Rattus norvegicus: one gene and its partner. The protein of the gene in region 1 purifies or fractionates together with the protein of each later gene. This does not show direct contact. Links are inferred from orthologs where the notes say so. Each region holds a gene or a part of one and is shown in the gene's direction. Other genes may lie near its edges.

What was found. Proteins that work in one complex are often made in the same cells at the same time.
Region 2: the proteins of Rab11b (region 1) and Pi4kb purify together in Homo sapiens (co-immunoprecipitation; 3 studies listed by BioGRID and IntAct, with this or other methods). This does not show direct contact. The link is inferred for Rattus norvegicus from reciprocal best matches to the Homo sapiens genes RAB11B and PI4KB.

The regions. Positions count from the first base shown.
Region 1 is NC_086025.1:15,232,633-15,239,981, reverse strand, and holds the start of Rab11b (ras-related protein Rab-11B), read left to right. Parts: upstream 1-3,227; 5' UTR 3,228-3,277; coding exon 3,278-3,317; intron 3,318-7,349. Other genes in the region: Rplp1l1 (large ribosomal subunit protein P1-like), read right to left, coding at 1,844-2,185. UniProt on the Homo sapiens protein: The small GTPases Rab are key regulators of intracellular membrane trafficking, from the formation of transport vesicles to their fusion with membranes.
Region 2 is NC_086020.1:185,226,095-185,233,507, forward strand, and holds the start of Pi4kb (phosphatidylinositol 4-kinase beta), read left to right. Parts: upstream 1-3,297; 5' UTR 3,298-3,635; intron 3,636-7,021; exon of another isoform or gene 7,022-7,202; coding exon of another isoform or gene 7,203-7,213; intron 7,214-7,413. UniProt on the Homo sapiens protein: Phosphorylates phosphatidylinositol (PI) in the first committed step in the production of the second messenger inositol-1,4,5,-trisphosphate (PIP). May regulate Golgi disintegration/reorganization during mitosis, possibly via its phosphorylation.

The DNA.
Region 1 (7,349 bases):
ACACGTCTAAACGGCCTTTTTTACTATCCTGATCACACTTGCCCTTATCTCAAGGTAGGAAGTAATGCAAGGTTCTGCTTTCCTTGGAATCCAAGGTGATCATAGGTTTAAGTCATTGACTTTACAAGAAATGGGGAATCAGATAAGCTAGATAGATAGACACTCCTTGGGTGATTAACCTGCCTTTCGGGTCAAGAAAGAGTCTTTATCCAAAGCAAGAGAGACAAGACAAAAGGAAGGCAAAAATACCAGGCTTTCATCTTACTGTTATCCTGTGGGTCTAAGTGAGGAAAGTTGTGGTCTGATCCTCCTCTCCAACATAGCTGTAGTCATTTTACTCCATGCCTGCCAGCTTTTTCATACTGTTGCTGTAATATGCCTGCCAGTCATTGACACAGAGAAATAACTTGACTCAGAGCAGGGTCACGCTGATCATATCCCCTGTTATATTCTGTATGAGGTTTGTTAATCTTAAGAAATTCCAGATAGCTTTACAAGTTAAAGGTCAATATAAATGCTATGTCTAACATGGCTTGAGTCAGAGTTGACCATTGGGCAACATTTCCTGCACCAGCATTTGAGCTCAATGCATTCTTTTCCCCTTGTTTTTGCCCTGAGAACAGACTGGTAACACAATTAGGCACCTGATTCCTTTTTCTGTGGTCTTGAATGTTCAGTATTAGGGTGTGTGTTCAATAAGCCACCCCTTTCTGACTGAGATCCGTATTTGTGTGGTTTGTGAAGCAATTCTTAGACACCAACAAGGAACTAACACATTTTAATGAAAGGGTTTTGTTTGTTTTCTTTTTCTTTCTTTTTTAAAATTTCTCTTGTGGGTCATATATTTTTTCTTTTTTTCCTCTATTCTTCCTCCTCCTCCCCCCTCACCTCCCTCCTCCTTCCTCTCTCCTCCTCTCCCTCCTCATTGTTGTTCTGGAGCTAGCTTCATGGACCAGACTGGCCTCAAATTCAGAGATCCAGCTGCCTGCCTCTGCCTCTGCCTCCCAAGTGCACAATATGGATTATGCAACCATATAATGTGATTGTGTATGCATTTCAGGATTTATGTGTACCCCATGAATCCAGGACGCTAAGGCATCAGACACCCTGAAGCTGTAGTTACAGATGGTTGTAAGCCACCATTCTGGTGCTGGGAATCAAACCTGGGCCCTCTGTAAAAGCAGAAAGTGATCTTAATGGATGAGCTTTCCCTCTAGCCCCTTATTTTTGTTGTTTAATAAGGGCTTCAAACTCACGTGGTACAGGATGACCTTGAACTCCTGACTCTCCTAATGGCATGCGCCACCACACCCAGTTTTTGTGCATACTGAGCTAGAACTCTATCATTTGAGCCCCATTTTCAGCCCCAAAGCAGCTTCTAAACACCTGTTATAGTGCCAGTAATAACTTCCTCCCCCACTTCAGTGCTAGGGATTGAAATCAAGCCTTTGCATTCTAATTAATTTAGCTTCAGTCTTGAGAGAATGCTCAGTGGTTAAGATCATTGCTGCTCTAACAGAGGAACCAGGTTTGATTCCCAGCGCCTACATGGTGGCACAACTGTTTATAACTCGAGTCTCAAGGATCCAACATCATCTCTGACTTCTATGGGCACTGCAAACATATAGTGCACAGCATGCAATAGCGACCCTTCCTCACTCTCTCATCCTCCTACTCTCTGCCCTTTCTCCCTCTCTCCCCGTCCTCCTTGCCCCCTCTCTCCATGTGCTCCTGGCCCCCCAACCCCTGCCCCTCTTTCTGCCTTTTTTCTGTCTCTACTCCCTTTTCTCTCCCCCCCACCCCCCAGGTTCAGCTCTTTATTGGACATGTTAACAAAAGCAGTTTAGTCAAAAAGACCAAAGCTCGTGTCATCCTCGGACTCCTCAGATTCTTCCTTCTTTGCTTCTACTTTCTTCTCCTCAGCTGGGGCAGCAACGGTGGATGGAGCAGGACCACCAGCAGGCGCAGCTCCAGCTGCTGGAGCTGGCCCACCAGCCCCTACATTGCAGATGAGGCTCCCAATGTTGACATTGGCCAGAGCCTTTGCAAACAAGCCAGGCCAGAAAAGTTCAACATTGACACCAGCTGCTTTAATCAGGGCATTGATCTTATCCTCTGTGACCATCACCTCATCGTGCAAGATAAGGTCGGAGTAGATGCAGGTGAGCTCGGAGACAGAAGCCATGTTGTGGACTGCCCGCACGGAGCTAGTCGCTGGATGAAGTGAGGGCCTCACCACAATGCAGCCTTAGCTTCCTCAGAAGGACCGAGCACCTTGGCGGCAGCTGAGGAAAGGGGCTACTCCCTTTTCAACTTGAAGCTAGCCAGGGTAACATAAGTCCTTGTCTCAAAAAACAAAACAAAATATCAAGCCGGGTGGTGGTAGCAAGTGCCTCTAATCCCAGCACTTGGGAGGCTGAGATAGGCGGCTCTTTGTGAGTTCGAGGCCAGCCTGGTCTACAGAGCAAGTTCCGGACAGCCAGGGCTACATGGTGTGACCCTGTTACGAAAAAACAAGAAAGAAAAAAAGGGAAAAGAAAGCCAGACAGGTATGGTCTGAGCCATATCACCAATTCCAGTCTAGCTAGGGTTTCATAGTGAAAATCTGTCTTAGAAAATAAAAAAATATGAGTAATGGTGAAAGCAGAAAACAATAGAACTTTTTGAGAAGAACAAATGAAAAAAGCCTAGGAACCCCATTTGTTTTGGAGGTACTGGCATAAGCTTTAGGTTTAAACAAATAACTGGGGAAGTGCAACTCAGAGAAGGCACCCCAATCCACGTACATACACCCGGAAATGGTCATTTATGGGGCTAGACTAAGAGGCCAGAGGAAACCCACTGTTCTATGATGTCACCAGGACGTTAGAGTCCGTAACTTCACCTAGAGGTAGCTCGATACAGGTCCACTGGAAGGCCGAGTCTCAGTCCAGTCTCTCATTGGTTACATACTCTGTCAATCCGCTTCATTGTTCAAGTCTTCCGCCCCTCCTTTCTCCATCTGCTTTTGATAGGCTGCTGAATCTGTCACTTCGAAAAGGTCCGCATTCCTTCCGCCTTTCTCCAGGAGACCTAGGACTAGAAGGGTGGATCCCAGGACGATCCCACCCCCTGAGCTCGCCTCCTAAGTTTGATTGGCTTGTTCAGGTGCCTGTCACTACCGCTTTCACCGTTGACTGGCCACCAGACCGCCGCTCTGCGCGGCGCCGGTACCGCCCCCGTCGGGTGTTTGTGGTGGGGCTGCGGAGTCGCCGATCCCGCCGGAAGCGCCAGGACAATGGGGACCCGGGACGACGAGTACGATTACCTATTCAAAGGTGCGCCCGGTGGGGTACAAATAGGCAAGGTCGCAGTAGCGACTGGAGGGCCGAAGCCGTGATACAGGACCAGAGGGTTCAAGGTGGAGCCCGGGGCTTCAGCGGGGCCTATCCGGGGTAGGGAGTCTGAGGAAGCCGTGGCAAGTGGAGCTTGCTAGGTTTTGGGCCTTAGTGCGCAGCGGTGAGATGAGGGAGACTCGGAGAGGCCTATGGACCCCGGATGCGCCGGGGCGGGGCCGGGGCCTTGAGGGGGTGGGGCCCGAAGTGGTCGAAGAGGCCGTTGGGGCGGGGCGTCCTGAGGGGCGGGGCTTTCTTGGGTTTGGCGGGCGGACTACGTTGAAAGCGGGATTATAGGTGGTGGTAGGGCGATGGAGAAGGTTGTGGGCGTGCCCACTAAGCCTGATTGGTTTGAGCCTTCTAGGGCTGACTTGTTACAGGCGGGGCCTACCTTGGAGTGGAGGCTGGGTCATGAGGTGCAGTATCCCTAAATTGTGGTGCTTTGGAATTGGGTATATTGAGGCCTGTCTGTTCATCACTAGTTCAAACTCTTGGTAATTGACGGAAATGTGATTCAGTTAGTAGCATGCTTATCAGAAGCATGCTCAAAGCCCTGGGTTTTATCCCCAACACTGCATAAACATTGGTGATGGTGCAGACCTGTAGTCTCAACACTTGGGAGGCAGAGGTAGGAAGAGCAAAAGTGCAGAGGCCAGGCTGGATTACTGGAACCCTTTTTCAAAGAAAAAAAGAACATGGATGAGATCAAATGCAGTACTTGCACTATTCTGAGACTTTACAACAATGGTCCCTTTTAATCCTCTTTGAGTTTATACAGTCCACTTTGTCCAGGAAACAGGCCTATAGTGGTGCACACCTGGAATCCCAGTACTCAGAGTTGGGGGTAGGAGGATCTCTTTCCAGTTCAAAGCCAACCTGGGCTGGTGAGGGAGCTTAGGTATTGGTGTGCACTGCCAAGCCTGATGACCTGAGTTCAATCTTGGAGCCTCCATGGTGGACAAAAGTCAGCAAATTGTCTTCTGCCCTTCATATGAGCCCACATAGATAGATACACAGAAAAAAATAGTGTAATTTAGCAGAATGTGGTGGCACACACCTTTAATCCCAACACTCAGGAAGCAAGAGAGAGACAGAGATCTGTGAGTTCAAGGCAAACCTGGTACACATAAAGGGGCGAGACAGGAGTGGCAAGTCAACAGAATTTGGATGTTTTTGTTTTTGTTTTTTTAATTTTTTAAAAGCTAACTTATGTTACACAGCCATAGTCTGTCCTCAGAACAAAAGGGAAAAACTGAAGTTCAGAGAATCAGGTTCCTAAGGGTGGAGCAGGATTGAGCCCAGGACAGGTTTTGCCACTTAGAGTATAAGTTTAGGGACAAGGATTGCAGCTTAGATATGGAAAAGACAGGTATTATACCTCCCTTCAACACATACATATCTAACTCAGGAAGAGCTTCCCTACTTTGTAAGCTTCTGTCCGTGTCATTGGGGTTCCCCATTCTTCTGGTGAGCATATTTTAAGGATCTGGCATTGTGACACCTTCTATGCCAAGCTGGGCTTTTGGGTCCTAGACTCCCTGATTGACAGTGATGGATTTTGAGAGATAACTTCTGGATCCTCCAGGGACATACCTTTGCCCTCAGGGTTGTGGAGGTAGTTGGGATATCCTTGTGGCAAAAGGCTCATAAGACAGAGACAGAGACAGACTTCTGCAAAGATACGGGTACCACACAGCACTATGGGCTAGGCGTGGGCTATATCCAGGTGTGAGACTAATTACAGGTGTTAGAGTCCAGGTATCACTTCAGAGGCAGAGTATGATTTGGAAGGCTCTCTGGTGACAGAAAAGATTCAAGTCCTGCTGTGTCCGGGGCCTGTCCCCACTCAGACCACCCGGAGGAAGCTTCCAGGCAGGGCAGGGGGATCTTTTCCCTTCAAGTCATCACATCCAGGCATCTGTGGTCATTCCCTGCTTGTTTTCAGCCTTTTCACTGTTATAAATAGCCTGGCATTGAATGTGTGCCCGAGTCCTCTCTTTGCCCTGTGGGCTGTTTCCTTGATGTGCATTCCCAGAAGTGCAGTTACTAGGTCAGGGGCAATGGAACTCCATTGCCATTCCTGGTACTTGTCTCCAGAGCTCACTTCCTGGAAGCACCAATCAGCTCCTGCAGCAGCTGGCAACGGGGTTGGGGGGTTGGTATTGGTAGAAGGAGAGTAGCCACCTGCCCCCACTACCCTCTCCTACTGTCCTCCTTTCCTGGTCTGGCAGGTACCTTCTTCAGTAAGTCATAGTAGCTGCCTAACCCCCAAGGTGAACATTCTGCCAGTGCTCACCCTAGGTCTCCTCTCCATTCCTGGCATCTCACCTGAGCGTTAACATTTGTCCTTTTCATTCAGACTTTAAACCATTAAATTAGATAAAGGAGTGCTATGAAATAAAAAGGGAAGCCAGGCAGATTGTTATCACCAATCACATCATTTTGCCTGCATGTGGCGAATAATGTGAGTACACTGCACCTGCCAATCCCTTTTGAGACTCACAGCCTTTAGATGCTCCAGGTCAGCCATTATAACAATGGTGGTAACCTGGTCAGCCTTGGAGAGGCGTCTTAATTCAGTGGTAAGAAGATAAATTCAAGGCCAGCCTAAGCTACATAGCAAAACCTTGTCTCAAGAAAAAAAAATCTACGTTTGCACTACAAGTATTGACAGGCTGCTTTTGTCACTATGTGGCTCTCTTTGTCACCTGTAGGAACTCAGGAAGTGTAGTAGTCTGGAGCCCTACCTCACCCCCAAACCCCTGTGCTGGATCCACCACCTTTGCCTGTCCCTACTTCCTTATCCTAGGCTTTGGTCACATTTCTTTGACATGTAGGGCCACAAGCCTGTGCTTGCGACAGTGGCTGCTCATACACAAACACAGTTTTTGGCAGCCACATCACACTTTGGCTCCTTTGACCTTAAGGCTAAGGCCAAGAGGTCTCAAGAGTGGGTAGCCATATGCCGTTTGTTTTCCTCCATAAATAGTCTCTTCTGCCCCAGGAGTGAGGTTGTTTATTTGTACCTAATTATAGATCCTCACGTTTCTTCTCTCAACATTTTCTCCTGTCAGGCACTGGCCATTTTCCCAACCTGCTGGTGGATCCCTAGGGATAGCCGTAACTTCTCTGAGGAACACTTGAGTCAGGGTTACTGCACTGGAATCTCCTAAGCCCCATCCTTAGACTCTTTTTCCCAGCGTTCCCAGACATTAGTGCCCGCCCAGTCTTCAAGGACATAGGTCATGTGGGAAGCACAGGAACTCTGTTCTTTTGAGTTGTACCCACCCCTGCCCAAGAACAGAAATCACTAGACACCAGGGACAGGGCTAGCCCTAGAATTTATAACCCTCTGCCAAGTACACCAGACTAGGCAGTGTGTCTACCAGGCCTGCTGTGCTAGTGACTCTCACTAGCCTGAGAGATTAAGTCAATAATCCTCCCCTGTGCCAGGCCCAAGAATAGTTAGGGCCACTTCCTAGAGTACACCTTCCCGACATTGGGTCTCCAGGGGTTCCATCCTATCACAGGGCAGGCCAGAGCATCCAGGGCTCCTGAGAGGTGTCAGATCTTTGTGCCAACTGGCTCGACTGTTCAAGCAGCCAAATGGCATATCCAGAGGGACCTTTTCTATCCAGCAAAGTCGCCGACTTCTTTGGAAATGCTGGGGGTTTCCTGAAGGGCCCATATTTTCCCAAGACAATGTGATCACTTGTTTTCTTAACAATGCCATTTCATACCCATTCTACATGTAGAGACAGCCAGCCCAGTTGCCACTCTGGTGTATCAGGCATCCTGTGCTGGGGATGGCCTGAGCAGCCTAGCCTTCCTGCTGTTCACCTGGGCATGATCTACTGACTCTCAGCCAGCTCCATGCATTATTGTTCTAATGTGTAACCTTGGACTGGGGATTTGGACTCCGGGGTTGAGAATCCCTTACTGCAGAGGGATTGTTGACATTTGTGTCTGTCCCTG
Region 2 (7,413 bases), on another chromosome or scaffold:
GCGCTTGCTAGACAAGCGCTCTACCACTGAGCTAAATCCCCAACCCCGTTTTACAATTTCTTTTTTTTTTTAAAGATTTATTTATTATATATAAGTACACTGTAGTTGTATTCAGACACACCAGAAGATGGCATCGGATCCCATTACAGATGGTTGTGAGCTACCATGTGGTTGCTGGGAATTGAACTCAGGACCTCTGGAAGAGCAGTCGGGGCTCTTAACCACTGAGCCATCTCTCCAGCCCAAATAAATGTGTCTGCGACCCAGTTCTTTTTTTTTTTTTTTTTTTTTTTCTTTTCTTTTTTTCGGAGCTGGGGACCGAACCCAGGGCCTTGCGCTCACTAGGCAAGCGCTCTACCGCTGAGCTAAATCCCCAACCCTTACAATTTCTTAAATCTCCCTTATACCCTACTAAATTCTCATATCTGCTCTGAACTCAATCTGATTGCTGTATCAACATATGCGTTTTCCTGTGGTAGAAACTTTGGATATCTAGAATGCAAAGGTAAATCCTTTCCCTTCCTATAGGACAGCAGTTCTCAGCATGGGGCTCTCAACCCCTTTGGCAAACCTCTGTCTCCAGAAATACTTAAATTATGATTCATTACAGTAGCATTAGTTATGAAGTAACAATGAAATAATTTTACGGTTGGAGTCACCACAACATGAGGAACTGTATATCAAAGGGAGGTTGAGAACTTCTTCCTTAGGAGCTCAGTCTAGATAAAATTAGACCACTAATCCTAGCTACCTGGGAGTCTCAGACAGGGTTGCAGTTTGAGTACCTAGATCAAAAAAGGGAGCAGGGTCTGGATAGGGCCCAGTGGTATAGCACTTGCTTAGCACGCATAAGGCACACATGCCCAGCACTGCAGAAACAAATGACACTGTCAGAATGCAAGTAGAAACAAAGTTGCAACATATGTGGTGGTAAGTAAACAAAACACCCAACCTCTCCGGATAAGAACTGGAAGACAAAACCATAAATGCAAAGACGTTTTCACCTGTACGTGTAGGGCTAAACAGAAATCTTGAAGTAGACTTTCTACTTACTCATGACTTAATTCTATGTAGGTATATAAATGAGCGAAATGGCCTCATTTGGTTAAGAATTGCCATTGGCTGGGCTATGGTGGTGGCCTCCTTTAATCCCAGTACTTGGGAGGCAGAGGCAGGGAGATCTCTGAGTTTGAAGCCAGCCTGGTCTACATAGTTCCAGGACAGCCAGGGCAAATGTAGAGACTTTATCTCCTAAAAGCAAACAAACAAACAAACAAAAAAAAAAAACCCACAAAAAAAAAAAAAATAAAGCCTACTTGTGCGGCCCCAGGGAATCCTAGGTTGGAGGAAGATGTAACATTTTAAACTCTAGGCTACCACAAGGTCACCACCTCTTGATACAGCTGGTTGGAAGCTAACCCGGAACTGTGGTCCTGTCAGGTGGACTGGTGATCACCAGCCCAGACACACAGTGACAGAGTAAGCTCTTCTTTGCTTACCTTCCGCTGCTGTGGCCACCCCACCCCCTGCCTTAGCCTGGTCTGTCTGTCTGTCCTGTCCTCGGGCTCTGATCTGTATTATTCAGCAAACATTGTTTTTTCACCTCTTAGAATGCCCTTTCTTTTTTATCCTACTGGATACTGAGTTCTGCCCTGCAGGGTTCACAGAAGCCGTCCATCCTTCCACCGTATACTCTGCAGCCAGGCCTTCTGTGTTGATTTAACAAGGTTTTGCCCAGTGTCTCCAGTAAATAAGAACTCCATTTGTTCTACTTTTGTGCCTGCTGCAGGTTTTATGCAGGCATTTCAAGCTATAGCTTCAAATAAATAAATAAATAAATAAATAAATAGATAGATAGATAGATAGATAAATAAATAAATAAGAAAGATAATCTTACCTGTATGAATGTTTTGCCTCCATCTATGTATGTATCTGGTACCCGCAGAGGTCAGAAGATGGAATTGGAACTCCCTGGAAGTGGAGTTGTGGATATCAAGCAACCATGTGGGTGCTGAGAATTGAACTGTGGTCCTCTGCAAGAGCAACAGCACTAAACCACTGAGCCGTCTTTCCAGTCCTTCATCTTCAGCTCTTTATCTGCCTCCCTCCCAGTTAAATACGGAAGCAGGGACATCCTTCACTCCTCACCTGCATGTTTCCATAACAGACATGTAGTACTATAACCAAATATTATATCACATATTATTGTTAATATAGTGTTATAGTAATATTGTCATATTATTATACAGAAGCTGAGGTTTAGTCCAGCTTGAGGGCATGTGAATGTATTCCCATAGGCCAGTGGCTTGAGCCAAGGAATAGCACAAGCAGCCTTGGAAAAATAGACTGTCTCTAAAAAGGGGAAAGGGGCATGGGAAGGAAGCTAGAGAAGAAAGGGAAAGAAAAACAAAAAGAAACAAAGATCTCAAATCAGCCTATAAGCACAACGAAGATGGCAGCCAAGAGCTAGGCTCAACCAGCTTCCAGTAGAATATTAATTATCTACCCTCACCAGGGGCCTAAGATATTAAAAAAAAAAAAAAGCCTCAGGAAAAGTGTTGGGACAGTGATTGTGGGACTTTACGAGGCCTGCTTATGTTCAGTTTCACGCGATTTTGTTTCGTTTGTAAAAGGAATAGGTCCTCCAAGCTTTTGTATTTCACTCACCTTTCCTAACCTGTCTTGAACAGCCTCTGTTAAAGTCTTGGCGACAAGCTGAGGTGACCTCGGAAGCAGAACCTTGTCCCAGAGTGCTGCGAAACAGTGAAAAGATTGAGGCGGTTGGACTGGGCCATTCCTGAAGCTACAGGGGCATACTCATGGCATCGTCCTTAAAGATGAGTAGGAAAAGGAAAATGAAGGTGATTGTCCTCCTTTCTTCCTCCCTTCTCTTTCTCGTCTGTTTTCTGGCCCTCCCACATGAGTCCCACCGGCTGATTTACGAAGGGAATCCTGTAGGATAGGAAAAGAAGAAAAGCCACTGGTGGCAATTACGGTAACTCGGTGGCTTATGCAAATGAATAGTTGACGTATAATTTGCGTGTTGGTATACTTTTGGAAGTACATAAAATATCAGTACCTCCGCATCCCTCCACTGATCCTGCCCACGCTACTTCCCTCTCGGCTTCCTTAGTAAAGCCTGCCTCTTAGGTCCGCCCTCAAACACTGGGCCCTCCTTCCCCCATAGGCTCCTCCTCCCTGTCCCCACCCCCGCTCATTCCCTAGCTTCCAAAAGCTCTTCCCCGCCCCCTTTTCCTTTCTGAACAGGCATGACTCGGGCAGCTCACCCGACTCAGATTACTATGGCATCGGTAGTGTCCTGACAGTTCGGAAAGCAGGAAAGCAAGCGCCGAGAAGAAAGGCTCGGGCCCAGCGGACTCTTACATCGCAACCCATCAAGGAATTGTTATTTTGGGTCCTGCAAGTGGGGTCCGGTCCAACTTGAGGTAGCGTGAAGGCCCCTTCAGGCGGCGCCGCGGGCAGCCCCGCAGCCGGGGCCTGGTGCAGCCGCCGCGGCCGCTGTCAGGGAAGCGCAGGCGGCCAATGGAACCCGGGAGCGGCCGCTGCTGCTGAGGCGGCGGTGTCGGCAGTCCGACCCCGACCGCCTGCACCCCCTCCGCGAGGGTCCCCCGGAGGTAAGCGGCTCCTCCCCCATGAGTCGCCTTTGCCTGTGGGGGGTCCTTCTGCCACCCTGTCCCGCCCAGCCTTCCGCGACCTGGGATCGACTACAAAACTGCCCCCCTGGTGGCAGCTGCACCCTGAGGTCCTTCACCCTTTCCTCTCGGGCGCGGGGTCGTCTCCTCTGCTTTCTGGCTTCCTCTTCAGTTTAGCCCCTCCCTCTGCCCCGCGGATTCCACCTCCCACCCAGCACCACACACACTTCTTACCTCTGTTGCCTCTGTTCCTTAACTATTTTTCCAAGTCGTGAACCTTTTCCACATTAGACCCCTTCTACAATATCTATCCATGTTTGCCCTTCCTCGTCGTTTGTTTCTGCTCACAAGACTTTTCCATGGACTCCGCCTTTATCCCTTTTCCTTTTTTGCCCCACTCTTCCGAGTCAGTGCAATCTCAGCACAGAGTTCTCATTTCCCTCAGCTAAAGATTGTATCCCTCTCTTCTGCTTCCGATTCCATTACCTCACCATAACCCACTCCCTCAGCTCCTGGCTTCCAAGAACTGTCTATTCCCTTCTCCTTAAAGGATCTCAGACTACTGTCATCGTACTCCGATACCATTTACTTTAACCTTAGTCCTCAACCCCTCTCCAGGGTGCCTGATGTTCTCTGAAGCTGTCTTTGGCTTCCCTTACCCTTTCTCAATCTCCAGTCCTCTGGAGGGCTTCCTGTAGGAGAAAGATCTGACGAGAACACCCCTACAGATAGTGATTTCCAACTTTTGACACCTCTCTCCAGAATTTTGCTGATGTTCGTCTCCCTCAGCTCTGTTTTCCCCGTGTTTTAAGTGTTCTCTATCACACCCTCTATCTCTGCACATGATTTCAGATCAGCTAAACCTTGAACTAAGAAAATCTGAGAGGAGGGGGAGCCTTAGCTGTCTCGGGCTTTTCTGGACAGATGTGTGTTTCTGAAGGGTGAAACAACTTTTAAAGAAGTCTCTATCAATCAGATTACATTTTGTTGAGTGTTTAAGAGCAACCTCAGGCCTGCATGGAAACTGAATGAAGTTATAAGAAATTTTGCTTTAGATTATTTATTTTGGGGTTTTGTTAGGTCACAGAATAGTATCTCCTACTCCTGTCTAGACCTAAAGGGAACCATTACTTTCCTGACTGAAGCTTAGTGGACTAGTGTTGGTTAGTTTCATAAGAATTTGGACCTAAGGTGAGGGTGTGTGTGTATGTGTGTATGTCTGTGTGTGTGTGTGTGTGTGTGTGTGTGTGTGTGTGTGTGTGTCTGTGTCTGTGTCTGTGTCTGTATCTGTTGGGGGCTGGGGGTAATTGGGAAAAGGAACCATAAGACAGTGTAAAGAGCTGTATATTCAGAGTCAAGGCCCCTTGGTTCTGCTTGTTACTTCCTCCCTTGAACTCTGGAATGGTCTTTTGAGAAAATGGTCCATTCCGCAAGCACCAGTGCTGTAATGGGCTAATTGGATGTCTGTTGGGGGAAGAACTGCAGTTTTGTAATTGATAAAAACTGCAGGCTCTCAGAGGAGAGGTATTTGTTGCTAGTGGTTTTGCCATGTTGAGAATCCCTTTACTTTGATATTTTGATCCCTCTGGTCTCTGACCATGAGTATAAAGTCAGTTTGAAGCACACGCTCTTGCTTGGCTGGCTACTTCTCAACCCTGTTTTCTTTCTTCCACCACATTAAGTTGTTGACCATTTGCACCTTTTTTTCTGTACCTGATCCATAACTCCAGATTCTATGGTCAGAAAATGTGTTTGTAGAAGACCCCTTTGAAAAGAACCTTGGACCATGCTGGGACGTAGCAGCGATGTACGTGCTGCGTTGTCTGCCACATCTGTCTTGGCCTGAGCTAGTGAAGAAGGCACAGGCACTTCATCCATCTCCAACTCTAGAAAATAGTAACGCCATCATGGCCCACCTCTCTTTACCCTGAACTTACTTGGAATGCAGTCTCCTAATGATCCCCACCTATGGGAGAAGCCCCCTGGTTTTCCTTGCTTCTCATCTGGGGCCACACTGTGTGAGAAGATGTTTGCTGAACACTAATACAGCAAACTGAGCTGCTTTGGTTTGAATAAGAGGTTTGGAAGGATCCTTTCAATAATTGGCACGGGACAAGAGAAGGCCTAATCTAAGCACATTTGGGACTCAAATAAGGACTAGTTCAGAGAACGGTGAGCAATGCAGGCTGCTGTCTTTACCACCTGTCAGCCTTATTGTGGGCTCCTGGAGCAGGCTTGGGCTGTCTGGTTGGAATCCTCTTATACCTGCTGCATGCCTTTGCACAGAGTTCTAAGCTTGATCAATATTGACCTAACTGCCATGAGACCACTGCCCTTCCCCCCAGTGCTGTAGTGGAGAATGCCCTCTTCCCTGATGCCACCATCGTTTGAGACCTTGAACAAGCATACTTGGTTCTTGGTGGGGCTTGAGCTTGCTAAACTGCTCAGTCCAGAGTTTCTACAGGGAAAAATGAAGAAGTCATTCTTCTTTACTATTAAGGTGGAAGGGAGCCATACGTCCTTGAAGCTTTGTGCTATACCTTAAGACATAGAAAGGAACTTGTTTTCTAAGAAAGATACTTACTTTGTGTGCATGACTGTTTTGCCTGCTGTACATCACATATGTGCCTGTTGCTTACAGAGGCTAGAAAAGGATGTCTGTTCCTCTGGAACTGGGGTTAAAGATGGTTGTGAGTACCATGTGGGTGCTGAGAATTGAACCCAAGTCCTCTGGAAGAGCAGGCAGTGGTCATAACCATTGAACTATCTCTCCAGCCCCAATAAGGAACTTCTTAACAGCAGAACAAGAAGCCTGGGATAGGACTAAAGTCCCTTTTGAAGAATGGCCTATTTTCTTAAAACTACTGCTAAAGGACTGCACGCACTTGGTATAGGGATTTATGATCAAACTAATAGTCCCCTCCCCCTTATCTGTGCTCACACTCCTCATATTGGAGCTCACCTCTTTAATTATCTCACTTCTATCTAAAGCTTAATTATCATACCTTCACTTAAATGCTTGTGACGATTTCTTGACCCTTTATTGAAGAAGAGGGTTTGATGTAGAGGATTCATACTTGTTTAGGTAATTATGACATTATTCTGTTCTTCAACCTAACACTTAATGAAGCTTTAGCTAATGTATCTGTGCCTTTCTTTTCCATTAGTTTGGAGCAGGGTTTGCTGGAGATTGAACCAGAGTGGTGCTCATGTTAGGTGACCCATCCACTACTGCACTAGGACCTTGGCACACTACACCCTTGGCCCTCTTTCCCATAAACTTTTGCTGGTTTTCCTTTACTACCCACCTCATACAGTAAGATATTGGCTCCTTTATCTTTTTCCACTTCCTGTGATCCATTTTAAAGGATTCCTGTGATTCCTTAAAAGGAAGGGAAATTGAGCTGACCTGCCTGCTTGGAAGAAGAGCTGTAGATCAGATGATGCTTAAAAGCCATTGTATGAAAATCTGAGAGCGTGTTAGGCCACCAGGATTTGTGTGAAGCAGTTCATATTTATCATGCGAGGAAAAAGACTGAAGAAGCAATAATGGTGATTAGGTAAGGGCATTATTTATGTGTCGGTACTGTCTTTCCTGAGAGGCCTGTCCAGTAAATCTTTTCATGAAGACCTTTTTCATGAAAATTCTGTGCAAACAGAATTTTTAAGGTGCTCTGAGGCAGAGAGCTTGGTTAAGAGGTAGTGTTCCCTGCAAAGACCTCTGTAGACATAACTGCTCAGGCCCATAAAACACATAGTG